Ovis aries: one gene and its partners. The protein of the gene in region 1 purifies or fractionates together with the protein of each later gene. This does not show direct contact. Links are inferred from orthologs where the notes say so. Each region holds a gene or a part of one and is shown on either strand. Other genes may lie near its edges.

Evidence for each region.
Region 2: the proteins of PSMB9 (region 1) and PSME1 purify together in Homo sapiens (affinity purification with mass spectrometry; 3 studies listed by BioGRID and IntAct, counting the BioPlex papers as one, with this or other methods). This does not show direct contact. The link is inferred for Ovis aries from reciprocal best matches to the Homo sapiens genes PSMB9 and PSME1.
Region 3: the proteins of PSMB9 (region 1) and PSMG2 purify together in Homo sapiens (affinity purification with mass spectrometry; 3 studies listed by BioGRID and IntAct, counting the BioPlex papers as one, with this or other methods). This does not show direct contact. The link is inferred for Ovis aries from reciprocal best matches to the Homo sapiens genes PSMB9 and PSMG2.

The regions. Positions count from the first base shown.
Region 1 is NC_056073.1:7,337,003-7,341,939, reverse strand, and holds the start of PSMB9 (proteasome subunit beta type-9), read right to left. Parts: upstream 3,238-4,937; 5' UTR 3,193-3,237; coding exon 3,133-3,192; intron 1,263-3,132; coding exon 1,195-1,262; intron 1-1,194. Other genes in the region: TAP1 (antigen peptide transporter 1), read left to right, coding at 3,786-4,383, 4,935-4,937. UniProt on the Homo sapiens protein: The proteasome is a multicatalytic proteinase complex which is characterized by its ability to cleave peptides with Arg, Phe, Tyr, Leu, and Glu adjacent to the leaving group at neutral or slightly basic pH.
Region 2 is NC_056060.1:20,828,453-20,833,727, reverse strand, and holds PSME1 (proteasome activator complex subunit 1), read left to right. Parts: upstream 1-2,046; 5' UTR 2,047-2,162; coding exon 2,163-2,201; intron 2,202-2,743; coding exon 2,744-2,776; intron 2,777-2,922; coding exon 2,923-2,985; intron 2,986-3,095; coding exon 3,096-3,206; intron 3,207-3,294; coding exon 3,295-3,340; intron 3,341-3,457; coding exon 3,458-3,555; intron 3,556-3,804; coding exon 3,805-3,873; intron 3,874-3,958; coding exon 3,959-4,026; intron 4,027-4,115; coding exon 4,116-4,170; intron 4,171-4,243; coding exon 4,244-4,330; intron 4,331-4,501; coding exon 4,502-4,582; 3' UTR 4,583-4,720; downstream 4,721-5,275. Other genes in the region: EMC9 (ER membrane protein complex subunit 9), read right to left, coding at 4,775-4,955, 5,104-5,198. UniProt on the Homo sapiens protein: Implicated in immunoproteasome assembly and required for efficient antigen processing. The PA28 activator complex enhances the generation of class I binding peptides by altering the cleavage pattern of the proteasome.
Region 3 is NC_056076.1:43,567,184-43,571,691, forward strand, and holds part of PSMG2 (proteasome assembly chaperone 2), read left to right. Parts: intron 1-86; coding exon 87-258; intron 259-2,047; coding exon 2,048-2,106; intron 2,107-3,320; coding exon 3,321-3,439; intron 3,440-4,310; coding exon 4,311-4,484; intron 4,485-4,508. UniProt on the Homo sapiens protein: Chaperone protein which promotes assembly of the 20S proteasome as part of a heterodimer with PSMG1.

The DNA of each region.
Region 1 (4,937 bases):
CTCCTTTCCCCCACCCTTGCAACCCCAGGTCTGTTTTCTATGTCTGTGAGTCTGTTTCTGTTTTTGTTTGTAAAAATAAAAACTACAATGAAGTATCACCTCACACTGGTCAGAATGGCCATTATAAAGAAAAATCTACAAACAATAAATGCTGGTGAAGGTATGGAGAAAAGGGAACACTGGTACACTGTTGATGGGAATGCAAATTGGTACAGTCACTGTGGAGAACGGTATGGAGGTTCCTAACAAATCTAAACAAAGAACTACCATATCACCCGGAAATCCCACTCCTGGGCATAGATCTGGAGAAAACTATAATTCAAAAAGATATATGCACCCCAGTGTTCATTGCAGCGTTATTTACAGTAGCCAGAACACGGCAGCAACCTAAACGTCCATCAGCAGAGGAATGGATAAAGAGCATATGTACTGCCATGAACACAAGGGTGCAGGCATCTTTTTGAATTACAGTGTTGCCTGGATATACGCCCAGGAGTGGGACTGCAGGATCATACAGCGAGTTGCTAAAGTTTCTGATGTTCTTTTGACAATAGAATGGCTTCAGAGTACATGAAATTTAACGCCTGGATTAAAGCGGGAAGGAAAAAATTGTCTCAGACAAATGAAACACTGCAAGTGATGATCAAAATCGGACTTAGATTTTATAATAAAACAAAAATACTACATGAAATTAAGAATAATCTTCCCCATACTAATTTTTCTTTGTTATTAACCATCTTGAGGAAGTTATGTGTTCTCTGGCACATAAAGTAAGTAATACTGGTCTAATCCTGTATACTTTTCTTGTATGTGGGGGAAACTGGCCAAAAGGGAGAAAGACACACTTAGTTCACACAGTGGATCAGAAAGCAGGTATCTGCTCGGCAGAACCATCTTTTCTATCTCTAAACACAGGTGGAAGGAAGACCTCTGAAATCCCTGTTTCCTAAACTCTTTTCAGACCCATTTCGATGACCCCCTCTGGGACAGGCCACGTTAGCATTCAAGCCCCAGATTCTTCTCCGTGAGTTCAGAGACCCAAACCCTCACCCAATGTCTTATTATAGTGGCCTTTCTGAAAGGTTCACTCAGTTTCTCCAGAGCTTCAGTTTGCCAGTCTCTATGAATGATTAAAAATGTGCATTGGGCGCCACGGGCTTCTTTCCAAAAGTACCCAGGGTCACTGGTACTCACCCTGCAGACACCCGGGAGTCCGATCCCACCACAACGCCCCCATCAAACTCTACTGCCATGATGGTTGTCTGCGGAGACACAGAGGACAGAACGTCAGAGCAGGAAGAGCCTTGGCCCCTTCATGTTAGATAAGGAAACATTCTCAGAGAGGGGGAGGTGACTGGCTCAAGGTTATCTGGTAATTTAGGCCAGAGTTGACTCCCAGGATGGGATTTTTTTTTTTCTTTCCGTTTTCTCTATTGTCTTTCCTGGCCGCAAGGGAACATCAGAGTCTGGCCAGTGGTATCACATAGAAAGAATGGCCTCCCTAAAATTCTTTCCACTGTGAAGAGAGAGGTGGGGTGAAGGTCCCAGGGCTTAAGTGCTCCCTCTGAGTGAAGGGCTCAGGGGGGCACTTCCAGACCCTGATGGTGCAGCCCCACACATGCATGACCTCTGCGTGCGCTTGTGTGTGCACAGATGTGCTGCAGATCTTGCCACACAGCAAGTGACCGTGACCTTGGGAAACAAGCTCAAGCCTTTTTATTAGCCCAGAATCATCCACCCCACTCTCCCCTTAATCAGTTTACTGAACAAGGGAAAACATCTCAGAGGTCAGTGGTTACCATGGCCATGTGTCAAGGAAGGAGGAAAATATCAGGAAACACATGGGACATTTAAGAATTTCTGATCAAGAGGTAAAGAACAAGGGGACTTCCCTGGTGGTCCAGTGGTTAAGACTGTGCTTCCTTTGTAGGGGGCATGGGTTTGATCCCTGGTCAAGGAACCAAGATCCCACATGCCATGTGGTGTGGCTAAAAAATAAATTTTTTTTTCTTTAAAAGAGTAAATAGCCAGGGAAAGAGATCTGTAGCAAGAGAGGATTTGATTGGGGAGTTTTAGCTGACTTTTCCAGGTCAAGAAAAGAATTAAGGAAAAGTGAAGGAGAATAAAGCCACTTTTTTTTTTTTTAAACTTTAAAGATCCTGCAAAGAAAGAAACTGCATCATACAGAAGGCAAGTGACTTGCCCAGGGTCACACAGGACTAAAACCCCCATCCAGCTCCCAGGGTTTGTTCTGACTTGTACTTCTTACTGTTCGTCTGGTGGTGAGGGGAAGAGTTTCTAATTTATGAATGGCTTCACTGCTATATTCCTCAGGGCTTCATAAGTTGCTCTGGCCTCCGGGGATACTGGCCGGAGTGCTCATTTTGACACACTGATTCATCGTGAAGAGCGGACCAGAGATTAGGGGTAACCCCACCCGAGAGGTTAATCCGTTATAACAAGGCTGCCGGAAGCTGAGAGTGGTGGCGGTCGCTTGAGAGCAGAAGGCAGCCAGCCAAGGGCTGCCACCAGCCCCCCGGGGGCCCAGCCTGGGCAAAAGTCCTCCAGCAGGTTGTGGAGGTGGGTGAGGAAGACACGGGGAGGGGAGCGCGGTGCACGTGGGCCGAGTAGCTGCCTTCCTGGACCAGGCTGGGCACTGGCAGCGCCAGCTCACAGGCAACCCCCGTGAGCAGTGCCGGGGCCGTAAGTTCCCCGGCGCGAGTCCATCAAAGGTCTGTGGGGGCACGTTCCTCCCCGCACGCTCCCAAGTGCCGTCCTGTTCACTCGGGGCACCGCGTCCTCATCTCTGCGCACCTTCCCCAGCTCTCCCCCTTCATTGAAGCAGCCCCTGTCTCTAGTCCAGAGTGAAAGCGAAAGCGCTCTAAAGCAGCTTCCCCTCAACGCTTCCAGCTCGGAGCCCAAGCACCCCTTCCCCGCCGGCCCCCCGCGCCCAGTCCCTCGGCGGCCCCCCGAGCACCCCGCTTCTGTAGAGACGCCCGTGTTCCTTTTGGGATGCGCGCCCCGGCTGCTGCAAGCGGTCTCCTCCCTCTTGCGAGTCTCCGAGTTAACCCTGTGGCGCTTCCAGGGTCCGCCCGTCCCTCCGTCCCGCCACCGATGTTCCAGACTCATTACCCCGGTGTGGACTTCTCCTGCCCGGGGCAAGTCCCCGGTGGGGGCTCCGGTCCGCAGCATCCCGGCTCCGCGAGGCTCGCCGCTCCGGGCTCTGGTTTCCGACCTGGGACCGCGCGCCGCCCGCTGCCCGAGGCCCCGCCCCCGCGCCGCGCCCGCCAGGGGGCGCACGAGTCCGTGCCGCCGCGCGGGGCGGCCCGGCGCTAACTTGTGCGGGGCGGGTCTACCCGGAGACAGATGACGCAAGAGACCGGGGCCAGCGGATCTGCCCGGAGACGGATGACGCACGAGCCCCGCCTGCAGACCCGGGGCCAGAAAGTCCCGGGCAGCGCGGCTCCTGCAGGAGGCGGTGGCACGCGAGGCGGGGCTCGGGTGGCGATGGAGGAGGTCAGCCTCGGATCCGAGGTCCCTGCGCTCCTCCCAGGTGCCCTGGGCCGGCCGCCTCCGCAGGGGCCGGGCCTGGGAAGCCGGGCCGCTTTCGTTTTCTCTTTCCCCTAAACCGCCCGCTTCTGGGCAGCGCCGCGGGCTCGGCGGGCTCCCGGGACTTTCCGAGGCCCCGCCCCGGCCCCTCCCCGCGGCGGTCCGGGTTCCGGCCCGGGGCTCGGGCTCCCACAGCAGCCCGTCGCGGACAGCGAGAGCCGGGACCGCGCGCGCCCATGGCCTGCCCGGGGTCCCCAGCTCCCTGCGGCCGTCCGCGCCTCCCCCGCCTCGCCGTCGCGTGGCTGGGGACGGCGCTGCTGCTCCTCGCCGACTGGACGCTGCTCCGGCCGGCGCTGCCCCGAGTGGCCTCGCGGCTGGTGCCCCCTGCGCTGCCGCTGCTGCGGGTCTGGGTGGCGGGCTTGAGCCGCTGGGCGCTGCTGTGGCTGGGGGCCCGCGGCGTCGTCGGGGCCGCGCTGGGCTTCCGGAGGGAAGGCACGCGAGTCCTCGGGTGGCTGGCTGTTTTGGAGCCGCTGGCGGCGGCGCTGGGCTTGGCCCTGCCGGGACTCGCCTTGATCCGAGAGCTGGTCTCCTGGCGAGCCCCCGAGGACGCGGACAGCGCCGGGCCCCTGCACTGGGGAAGTCGCCTGGACGCCTTCGCTCTCAGCTACTGCGCGGCACTGCCCGCGGCCACCCTGTGGTATAAGATCAGGAGCCTCTGCGTGCAAGGAGCTCGCGGGGCTTTTGGCCTGGCGATGAGCCGGCTTTTAGTCTTCCTGGGTCCGGAGAAAAGCCACGTGCAGTTCATTTTGGCCCTGGTGTTTCTCTCCTGTCTTGGTAGGTAAGGTGGGGGCGGCGGGGGGCGTGCAACGGGAAGGGGGACGGGACTGGAGAACTGGGTAGGAATCGAGGGGCCTGATCAATGAGAGCAATTGGTGTGGGTTCTCGGAAACGTGGGTGAGGGGAAGGGGACCCAGCTCAGGTCTTGATCACCCCAGTGGAGTGGGAAGGTCCTGACTGGGCAATTGTCAGGGGTCCTGGACTCCAGGGCTGCCCTGCGTGTTGTTGCTTCACTGGCCGCCGTGGACAAGGGCTTTTCCCGGGCAGCCCATCCTACAACCGCTAGGCTTCCTCATTAAACCTCTAAAGGTCTTTGGGCCTCGTGTAGGTGGAGATGGTATCTCTCCACTGCTCTGCAGGAGAATGAATAAAGGCGAAAAGCCGGTGGGCCAGGGCCTGGTGAGAGCTCAGGAGAATGAATAAAGGTGAAAAGCCGGTGGGCCAGGGCCTGGTGAGAGCTCAGGAGAATGAATAAAGGTGAAAAGCCGGTGGGCCAGGGCCTGGTGAGAGCTCACCTGCTCAGACTTGCTATTTCTTCCCCTCCGCAGGGG
Region 2 (5,275 bases), on another chromosome or scaffold:
GTCTCTGCAGACATCAAGATATCTGGGGCTCTGATGTCAAAGACTGGCACTGCCAGGGCAGGTAACAGTGTCCTCAGGGATGGGCAACATTCCCACTAAACAGATGCTCCATCTCCAGCTTGGTTGATTTGTTTTTCCTGCCTCCAGCACTGAATACCCCCTAACCATCCTCAGGGGCCTTTCTATCTGGGCACCCTACTCAGCCTCCCTTTCTACCCTGTCTTTCCAAAGAGGGTCTATACATGCTTATTTTCTTAAAAGATGTTCATTGAGCCAAGCATAGTTCTTTGCCATGTGAATAAGAAAGACAAAGTTTTTGCTGTTTGGGGGCCCGTGGGTTACTACCTGATGATAAACTTACAAATAATAATACTATTGTGCTTACTCTGTATCAGGCACCATTCTACGTATCTATAAATTCTTTATATAAATTCACATATTTAGCCCTCACAACAACACCATGAGTTAGGAGTGTTCCCACTGTACATTTGTGAAAATGGAAGTGCAGAGCTAAGTAAGTTTTTCACAACTAGTAAATATTGGAGCTAGAATTATTAACCCAGGCAGTATGGATCTGTTGTTTGTGCTCTAAAACAGAGATCAGCAAGCAACAGTCCTGTGGCCACTGTTTATATGGCCTGAGAGCTAAGAAATGATTTTACATTTTTTAATGGTTGAAAAAAAAGAATATTTCATAACAGGTGAAAATTACATGAAACTGAAATGCCACTGTCCATATGGCGCCCCACTCCAGTGCTCTTGCCTGGAAAATCCCATGGATGGAGAAGCCTGGTAGGCTGCAGTCCATGGAGTCGCTAAGAGTCAGACACGACTGAATGACTTCACTTTCACTTCTCACTTTCATGCATTGGAGAAGGAAATGGCAACCCACTCCCGTGTTCTTGCCTGGAGAATCCCAGGGATGGGGGAGCCTGGTGGGCTGCCGTCTATGGGGTCGTACAGAGTCGGACACCACTGAAGCAACTTAGCAGCAGCAGTCCATAAATAAAATTTTAGGGTAACTAGCCACACTCATTTATTTAACTGTATAGCTGGTTTCCTGCTACAATGGCAGAGTTGAGTAGTTGCTGCAGGTACTACAAAGCCTAAAATATTTACTATATGGTCTTTGACAGAAAAAGTTTGCCAACTCCTGCTCTAAACCACACTATCCTCAAAAAAGAAACTAACTTCATAGAGATAGTGCTGTGAAGGTACTAAAACAGGCTGCTTTCTAATAGACTTGGAGGGAGTTATAAGCAGAGTTCTTTCTGAAGAAGTGATATCTAAGCTGAGAACAGAATGACATCCTGAGGCAGGGTAGGTTGTGTCAGGCAAAGGGATTAGCAAGAGCAAAGGCCTTGAGGCAGGAATGAACAACGCTGGCAGGTCTGAGAAACAACTGGAAAGTCCAGGTATTTATAACTGAAAAGAGGGAGAAAACAGTGGAAAGCAAAGTTGAAGGGGAACAGGTGCCAGATAGGCCTTTTGGACCAGGAAAGTCCTTTGGATTCTAAGGTCAACAGGAAGTTGAGAACGTTTTAAGCAAGAGCAAGGTGGAATCCTGCTGCTGCGTGGTGAGTGGGTTACAGAGGAATGGAGTCCACAAGGGTCTTAAGAGAGCTGACCAGGTCCTGTGATGGGATGATGCCAGAGTCTGAACGTCACTGCGTGGGCCAGACGATGCCCGTGGAGCTAGGGGTCCACGCTGGCAGGGCAAAGGAAGGGAAGCCAAGTCTTGCTTCACCACCCAGAAGAGAGGCAGATAAGGCTAATCACTGTCCCAGGCGGCGCTGGGAAGAGAGCCCGAGGTCTGGGGCAGGGGGCGGGAGGGGCGGGGAATCCTGAGGCGGGCCCCGGCCTCGTGGCCGGGGAGGCGGGGCGTCGATGGGAGGGTGGGGCAGGTGGGCGGGGAATCGAAAGACCGACAGTGATGGGGATGCGGGGTGGCGGAAAGGCGCCTCTCCGACTCTAGGGGGAGCCCCGGCTGGGCTACCTCCCGGCACTCAGCTCCTCGCCTCTCTCTGGTCTGTCCCCGCCTCCTCTAGTACCTCCACTCCCACTACCCAGGAAGGCCGTGCGGGGAGCGAGCGCTGCTTTCACTTTCCCTTCCCCGTGCCCACTCCTCGCTCCGCGTGCTTCGCCAGGCCCCTACCCCGGCCATGGCCACGCTCAGGGTCCTGCCCGAAGCCCAAGCCAAGGTGAGCGCTGCGGGTTCTAGGAAGGGCCCATCAGGGAGGGGTGCCTCCGAGACACTGAAGGAGTCCGTGACCCGCCCCTCAGCCCCTCGAGTAGGGGTCAGTCATCCGAACACTCATGGGCCCCGTGCCCAGAGCACCTGAGCCCGGAGAGCCCCGCCAGGTCTGCCTGCGGGAGGAGAGGCGAGGCGGCCGAGGTTCAGCGGGGTGAGGTGAAGCGGAGCCCTGGCGTGAAGGGGAAATCTGCTGGCCCGGCGCCCGAGCCCACACACAGACGGGGTTCGGGCTCTGCCCTGCCACCATGGGAGGCCCCGCGTCCATTCCACAGGGCACTCCGACCCTGCCCCAGTCGCAGCAGCTCTCTTACATCCCTCCTCCCACTGCCCACCGAGGGATCTGTTCCCTCTTGAACAGTTCGCCCTTCACTTCCAGGAATGTTATTCCCCAAATCCCACCGCACCCAAGTCAGACCCCATGCAACCCTAAGGGTTCTCGAATAAACTGGCCATAAAGCCAAATTCTGAAGGGCTGCTTGTGTCCCACAGGTGGATGTGTTCCGTGAAGACCTATGTACTAAGGTAAGACCTGCACGGTCATCACCCCACCCCTCCCCAAGCCCACTGCTCAGCCCTCCTTTGCTAGGCAGCGGCAGCCCTTCCTTCACTGCTTAGGAAGGGAATTTGATTCTGACCCCCATCCTCCCTTACCGTTACCCTACACACAGACAGAGAACCTGCTCGGGAGCTATTTTCCCAGGAAGATTTCTGAGTTGGATGCATTTTTAAAGGTACTGGGGCTGGGCAGGGAGTAGAGGCCAAAGGGAGAGCTTCAGGGGCTGTGAGAGTGAGGAGGTGAGAGCTCGCCCCTGCCTCCAGCCCTTCTCCCACCCTGCACCAGGAGCCAGCTCTCAATGAAGCCAACCTGAGCAATCTGAAGGCCCCATTGGACATCCCAGTGCCTGATCCAGTCAAGGAGAAAGAGAAGGAGGAGCGGAGGAAACAGCAGGAGGCAAGATGGGAATTCCTGGGAGGAGGGACCCAACCCGGGGAAAAATCAGCCTCAGGCCTGACTCCCAAGAGCCTCCCTTTCCCTGCAGAAGGAAGACAAGGATGAAAAGAAGAAAGGGGAAGATGAAGACAAAGGTATCACTATGGTGGAAGGGACTTGTGTCTCACTTCCCAGGAGCTCCTCCCTAAGGATGCCTTTTCCTTACCTGGCACAGTCCCAGTCATGTGACTGACCCAGTGCCCACCTCCTAGGTCCTCCATGTGGCCCAGTGAGCTGCAATGAGAAGATTGTGGTCCTCCTGCAGCGTGTAAAGCCTGAGATCAAGGATGTCATTGAGAAGCTCAACCTGGTGAGCCCCCCACTTCCGTCCACACACTTCAGGTCAAACCCTTTGTCTTCCTTTCTCCCTACCAGTTGGGCATGGCACCTGCCAGGTCTTAGCAGGAGAGGGCACAGCAAGTAAAGCCAGAATTCCAGGCCATGGCATTCAGGACAGACCTGACACACTCCCATTCACTGTGAGCAAGGAAACAAAGGACAGGAAGCTGGGAATTGGGTTTGAGACTGATGGGGCTTCTTTGCCATTCCCTCCTCCCAGGTCACCACCTGGCTACAGCTACAAATACCTCGGATTGAGGATGGGAATAATTTTGGAGTGGCTGTCCAGGTGAGAGCACTGCCCCACTCCTCTGCCAACTTTCTCTCTCCAGTCCTTGCTGCTTTCCACTTTCCCTTCTGCTTTCTTTCCCCAGGAGAAGGTGTTTGAGCTGATGACTGCCCTTCACACCAAGCTAGAAGGCTTCCACACTCAAATTTCCAAGTGAGTCATTGCCCATTGCTCTGCCTCTGGCAGAGACTGAGGCCTCTGCTCCCTCCTCCTCCTGCTCCATACCCTTCTACTTCCCACAGGTATTTCTCTGAGCGCGGTGATGCTGTAACTAAAGCAGCCAAGCAGCCCCATGTGGTAGGTGAGGTCTCAGTCTGGGTGCAAGGGAGGAGGGACACTTGAAGTCAGGCCTGATCCAAGTTTCCCGCAGGGTGATTATCGGCAACTGGTGCACGAGCTGGATGAGGCAGAGTACCGGGATATCCGGCTGATGGTCATGGAGATCCGCAATGCTTATGTGAGGAGGCGAGAGTTGGGGGCGGGCTGAGGCAGCTTTCCCAAGCCACCCACTCCCTGACCCTGCAGGCTGGGGTGAAGGGTTACAAAGTGCAACCTCTCCACAAGGCTAGAAATGGGGTACAGAGCCACTGGGAGCTGGTGGCTGACTCTCTCCTCCCTGGCCCCATAGGCTGTGTTATATGACATCATCCTGAAGAACTTCGAGAAGCTCAAGAAGCCCAGGGGAGAAACAAAGGGAATGATCTATTGAGACCCTCTTCTCATTCTGTGATGGCTCCAGCAGAGACCTTCTGACTTTTACAGGGGACTCCAGACTTTCCCCACCTTCTGCCTGTTGGTTTCTCCCTCACCTTTGCCTCCCAGGCACAATAAACATAGTCATACCATTGCCCAACAGCCCAAGTCTCTTTATTGGATCCTGAGCCTCCCCTCTGGCCCTGGCTCAGGTATTTCCATTTGTGGGACCAACCCACTGGGTGATCTGGGCGTTGAGCTGCTGGTTGGTCCAATCCTCTCGGATGTCATCAAGGTGGCAGTCAAAGTCCACAAGGTGCTGGTGGGCCCGGCCCTCTAGTAATGCTCCCACCATCTGCCGTGACTCTTCCCAGTCCCTCCACATCACTCTGAAATAATAACCTCCATGGCAGTCAAACTCAGCAGAGAGCGGGGCCAGGTTAGGTCTAGAGAAGGACCCTTGGGACAGAACCAACAACAGAGGAGGCTCAGGAGCTGTGGGCTTCCAAGAAGAGGTGGAAGGAGAGGGGCACTCACAAGTTCTTGTCCTTGGGGACCCAGCGGAGACCATGGTTCTCCAGGACGATAACTGGGGGCACGTGAGGCTGGGGTACCAGTTTCTGATTATCCAACTGTGTGGACAAGGAAGGGCTGGTGAGGGTTTCAAGGGTTCCCCCTTCCTCCTTTCTTTCCAACTCCCCATTCTGAA
Region 3 (4,508 bases), on another chromosome or scaffold:
CTGTGACTGTCGTCTTCTGTCTAAACTTCTTAAAGTGCTGCTGATTTGGATAACTTAATGAACTTTTTTTTTTTTTACTGTTTCAGCCAGCAGTATCTGTTGGAAATGTTGGCCAGCTTGCAATAGATCTGATTATTTCCACACTGAATATGCATAAGATCGGTTACTTCTATACTGACTGTCTTGTGCCAATGGTTGGAAACAATCCATATGCAACTGCAGAAGAGAATTCAGCGGAGCTCAGTATAAATGCTGAAGGTGTGTTATATCCTTCCACAAGGCAGATTTGTGTCAAGTCACAGCCAGACTCTCCCTGGGTGTCCGTTGGTACCTGGAGTGGCTCTTTAGAATCCACAGCGGTGCCCTCCTCTCCTGCACACACCCTGGATTACAGCCCCCTCAAGAGATGTGCTTGTATTTGTACCCTTGGATAGAATGATTTTTAACATGGGGTTTCCCCCTCTTATCCTCAGTTTTACTTTCTGTCCTCCTGGCACGTGTAAGCATTGCTAACACTGGGCTCAGGCCTATGTGTTTAATGTGCAGCGCCCCATGCAGGCTGAAGTCATCTGTCACACAGTGGTAGCATTCATCGTAATGCACACTGACCCGGCTCAGAGAGGCAAGTCACTTGACTGCAGGAGGCCTAGGCCCTTCCCACGCCACCCATCTCCACAGTTCCCTGCTGTGCTGTCAGTTGGGGTTAGTCAGGGCTCGCAGCGTACAGACCAACCACTGTGTTCCTCTGGCCTCTGTATTTTCTGAAACTGGACTTAGTCTTAAAGCCTTGATTATTTAGAAGCTAAATATTTTTGACCAGAATACGTGACAGGTGATGTTATATCACATGAGCAAGGTGCTAGGAAACAGGATCTTACCAACAAAACAAGATGTGCATGAAGCTCTGGTGGAAAGCAGGAGTGCTGCTGCTGCTGCAGAAGTGAGGCGTCATGGACGTCATCTCAGCCTGCCCACTTCCCTGGTTCCTGAGCTTCCAGCTCTAGCCTACTTTGTCCCAAACACGCCTGGTGGTCAGCACCCTTGCTGATGGATGCTGCATGGTCCCAGTCACCCCACACACACCAGTGCAGTGAGATGATCCCAACAGACCTATAGAATGGGAAAGACATGACCCACCAGACACAGTGCCTGAGTCTCGGGTTGTCTGTGATGTTTACAGTGACTGAAAGCTTAACCCTGGCACAGAGGCCTAATCACATGTTCTCGGAGACTCTGTATTTTGTTCTCGGGTCATTTCAGGGCTTCTCATTCTTGGAGGTAAACTTGGGCAGGGCCTCCTAAGCATCAGTAAAGTGGGCCCCTTGTAGACTCTGGTGAATGCTGTGGATCCTCCTCACAGGATAAATTCACAAATATTGACTCACAGAGTTCTTACGTGTTACTTCAGGTCTTTCTGAATCTCCTGAAGAAAATAAATATAGCTTCTGTGTTTTATCACACAGCTAACATTCGCCTGCATTTTACTCTTCCTTCTAACCCCAATGAGTGTGACTATTCTTTAGAGAAAAGAGGGAACAATATCAGAAACCAAACCTTGAAAATGGGGTCATTTGTTATAAGGATAGAAATTTCCAGGGGAATCCTCTAGGTTTACAATCAAAGAAGAAAAATAATTTCTGATAATTTTCTCATAGTTAAATTTCAGCAATGAATCTATTCCATAGAATAAAGCCCATGGGTGAATTCTGAGGTACTTTTAAAATGTTTTAGCTAAATGATGTAGTGCATATGTTCTGTGTTTTAATTGGCAAAAATCTTTAGGGACTTCGCTGGTGGTCCAGTGGTAAAGAATCCGCCTTCCAATTCAGGGAACACAGATTTCAATCCCTGTTTGGGGAGCTTGAGATCCCACAAGCAGCGGGGCATTTAGACCTGTGTGTTGTAACTAAGACCGGATGCAGCCAAATAAATATATTTTAAAAATATTTAGATACAGAATTTTTCCTAGTTCAGTTTTGTTATTAATTGCTCATGTATGACTCCTTAATTTTAACTATCATATGGTTTCATTCTCTTATACTTGCAGTATATGCATTGCCTTCAAAGAAACTAGTGGCTCTTCAGTTAAGATCCATTTTTATTAAGGTTAGTATATTGCTTTTGTCTTAAGTTTATTAAAGTATAGTATAATGAGAAAATACTGAGTCATTATTAAGATTCAAAAATCATTTCTTTCTTTATACAGTTAAGCAGTCTGAGTTTATAGAGAAATACTCATAAGATTTCAGAGTTGTCACTATTATTTCCTGAATATATTGAAAGGAATTGGGACATATAGCTTGGGTCCTATATATTCCCGATTCAGGTACCATGGGTGAAAAAATTTAAGCATATGAATATTACAGGTTTATTCTATTTGCATTACATTTCAAACCTGTGGCACCTGCATTAAAATGACGTGTGTCTGAAAATACACTCTTGAATCCAGCTTCTCTCCCCTTCTGCTGTCACCACTTTGGTCCAGCCCATGTCCTCTCTCATGTCCCTGATTCTGCTTCTGCACCACCCGCCCCACAGGCTCTTCCACCCCAGGTCCTGGAAACCTCAGTCAGATCCTCTCGTAGCTTCCTGTCTCCAAGCAAGTTCATAGCCCTCACCACTGTCTGGCAGGAATGTGTCCACACTGACCTGGCAGCCACTAGACACCTGGAGCTATTTAAATTTTGTTTCATCCATTGAAAGTAGAGTGAAAGGTCCACATCCCAGGTCAATCACCTGTTCACCTCTTGCCACACCTGGTTGATCCTCTGTGTGCGCGTGCAGTTTCCTTCTGCCAAATAGTCCAAAGCAGGTGTGTGCCAGCATCACGTAACACACGTCTACAGGAAGGAGAGCCTCTTTCACAACTACAGTACACCACACACCTGGGAGATGAGCATCAGCAAATACTCAGACTTCCCCAGCTGCTCCCCACACACCCATCAGTTCTGCATCCAGGCGAAGTTCGAGTATTGCCTCAGCTGTCACACCTTTTTAGCTGGTATTCAGCATGGAGCTGACTTCCTCCTGTGATTCACAACACTGACTGTGCTGAGGGACCTAGACAGGCATTCTGCCTTCTGGCTTACCTAACTGTTGCCCCTGATCAGATTTGGGGCAGAAATTTATCGTCATTGTCCCTCATCTTTCACCTTCAGTGCAAGGACAATAAGTGGATCTCAAACTAACTATAAGTTTAGCATATGTAAACTGTTAATAGTATCATCACAAAGACTGATGAAATACTACGTAGACTACTCTTCTAACAATCTGAGATCTAACTTTGTATTTTCATTGTACTCTTTCCATGGTATACAAAGTATAAATCAAAGTCATTCTGTGAAAAACTGCTTTCCTGGGTGAAAAGCAGCGGCTGCGCCAAAGTGGTGGTTCTTTCTAGCAGCCACTCGTATCACCGTAATGACCTCCAGCTGCGCAGGTAGGTCTGTGTCTCTGAACAAGTATATTTGTTAAGATGTGTACAGTTATTAGAATGATTGCTTTACTAAAAGGTTAAAACAAAATTTTAACGCCATCCTTTCCTTTTCTCCCTGGAATTTAGAAAGAAGGAGGTGAAGATTGTGGGGAGATAGGGGAAGTGGCGTTGGGGGCCCTTAGTGTTCCCAGGGCTGCAGCACTGGGGTCTAGGGTAGCAATGGGGTGCTTCTGGGGCTGCACTCTGCTTTGTGTGTCTCTGGGACTATGCTCTGCTGTGTGTGTCATGAGCCCACGGCACCTCAGGGCTAAGCTGATGGAGAGAAAGGAGAAAGAGTACCTGAAGTTTATCAATTGATTGTCTTTCAAAGACTGGATCACTGTTTCTATTTATTTCCATGTATTCAACCATTTGTATCTGCAGAACTCCAGCTGCCTTTAAGTACAATTTCCAGGCATGTCAGATTGAATTCTTAAATAGAAGATAAAGTATTCAAGAGTTAGAAATCCATACTATTTATTGCATTGTCATTTGCACACCTGTAAAATCATGAAATATCTGCGAAGAGTAGCCTCTCAAAACTAGTTAATTTCTGAGGCCCTTGTAAGAGGCCTCGTTGGGGCGTGGCTGTGGGGTCTTCATGCTGGCCTTGCCTTTGGTTGTTTTCCTGTCCCCAGCACAGTCTCCTAAGTATGTGAGTAGCAAGTCAGAGCAATCACTTTACGTTACTCTTCCATAAACTGTCAGAACTTGCATTTTGCCTTCTGCAACAAAATATATGGAAAACAAGATAATTTTTGTTGAAAGAACTCTTATTTGTCTTAATATTCATATTTGTGAGTGTTTAGTTAATGATATGATTGTTTCTTTCCAGTACCCCCTTCAGGTACATTCTTACCCCTTCCATGCAAAAAAGTGTTCAGAATAAAATACAGAGCCTCAACTGGGAAGAAATGGAAAAAACCCCATGCATTCCTGAAATAGACGATTCTGAGTTTTGTGTCCGTGTTCCTGGAGGAGGGATCACAAAGCTGCTTTATGATGAAGGGTGAGTGTGTCTGCCTGTGTCTTT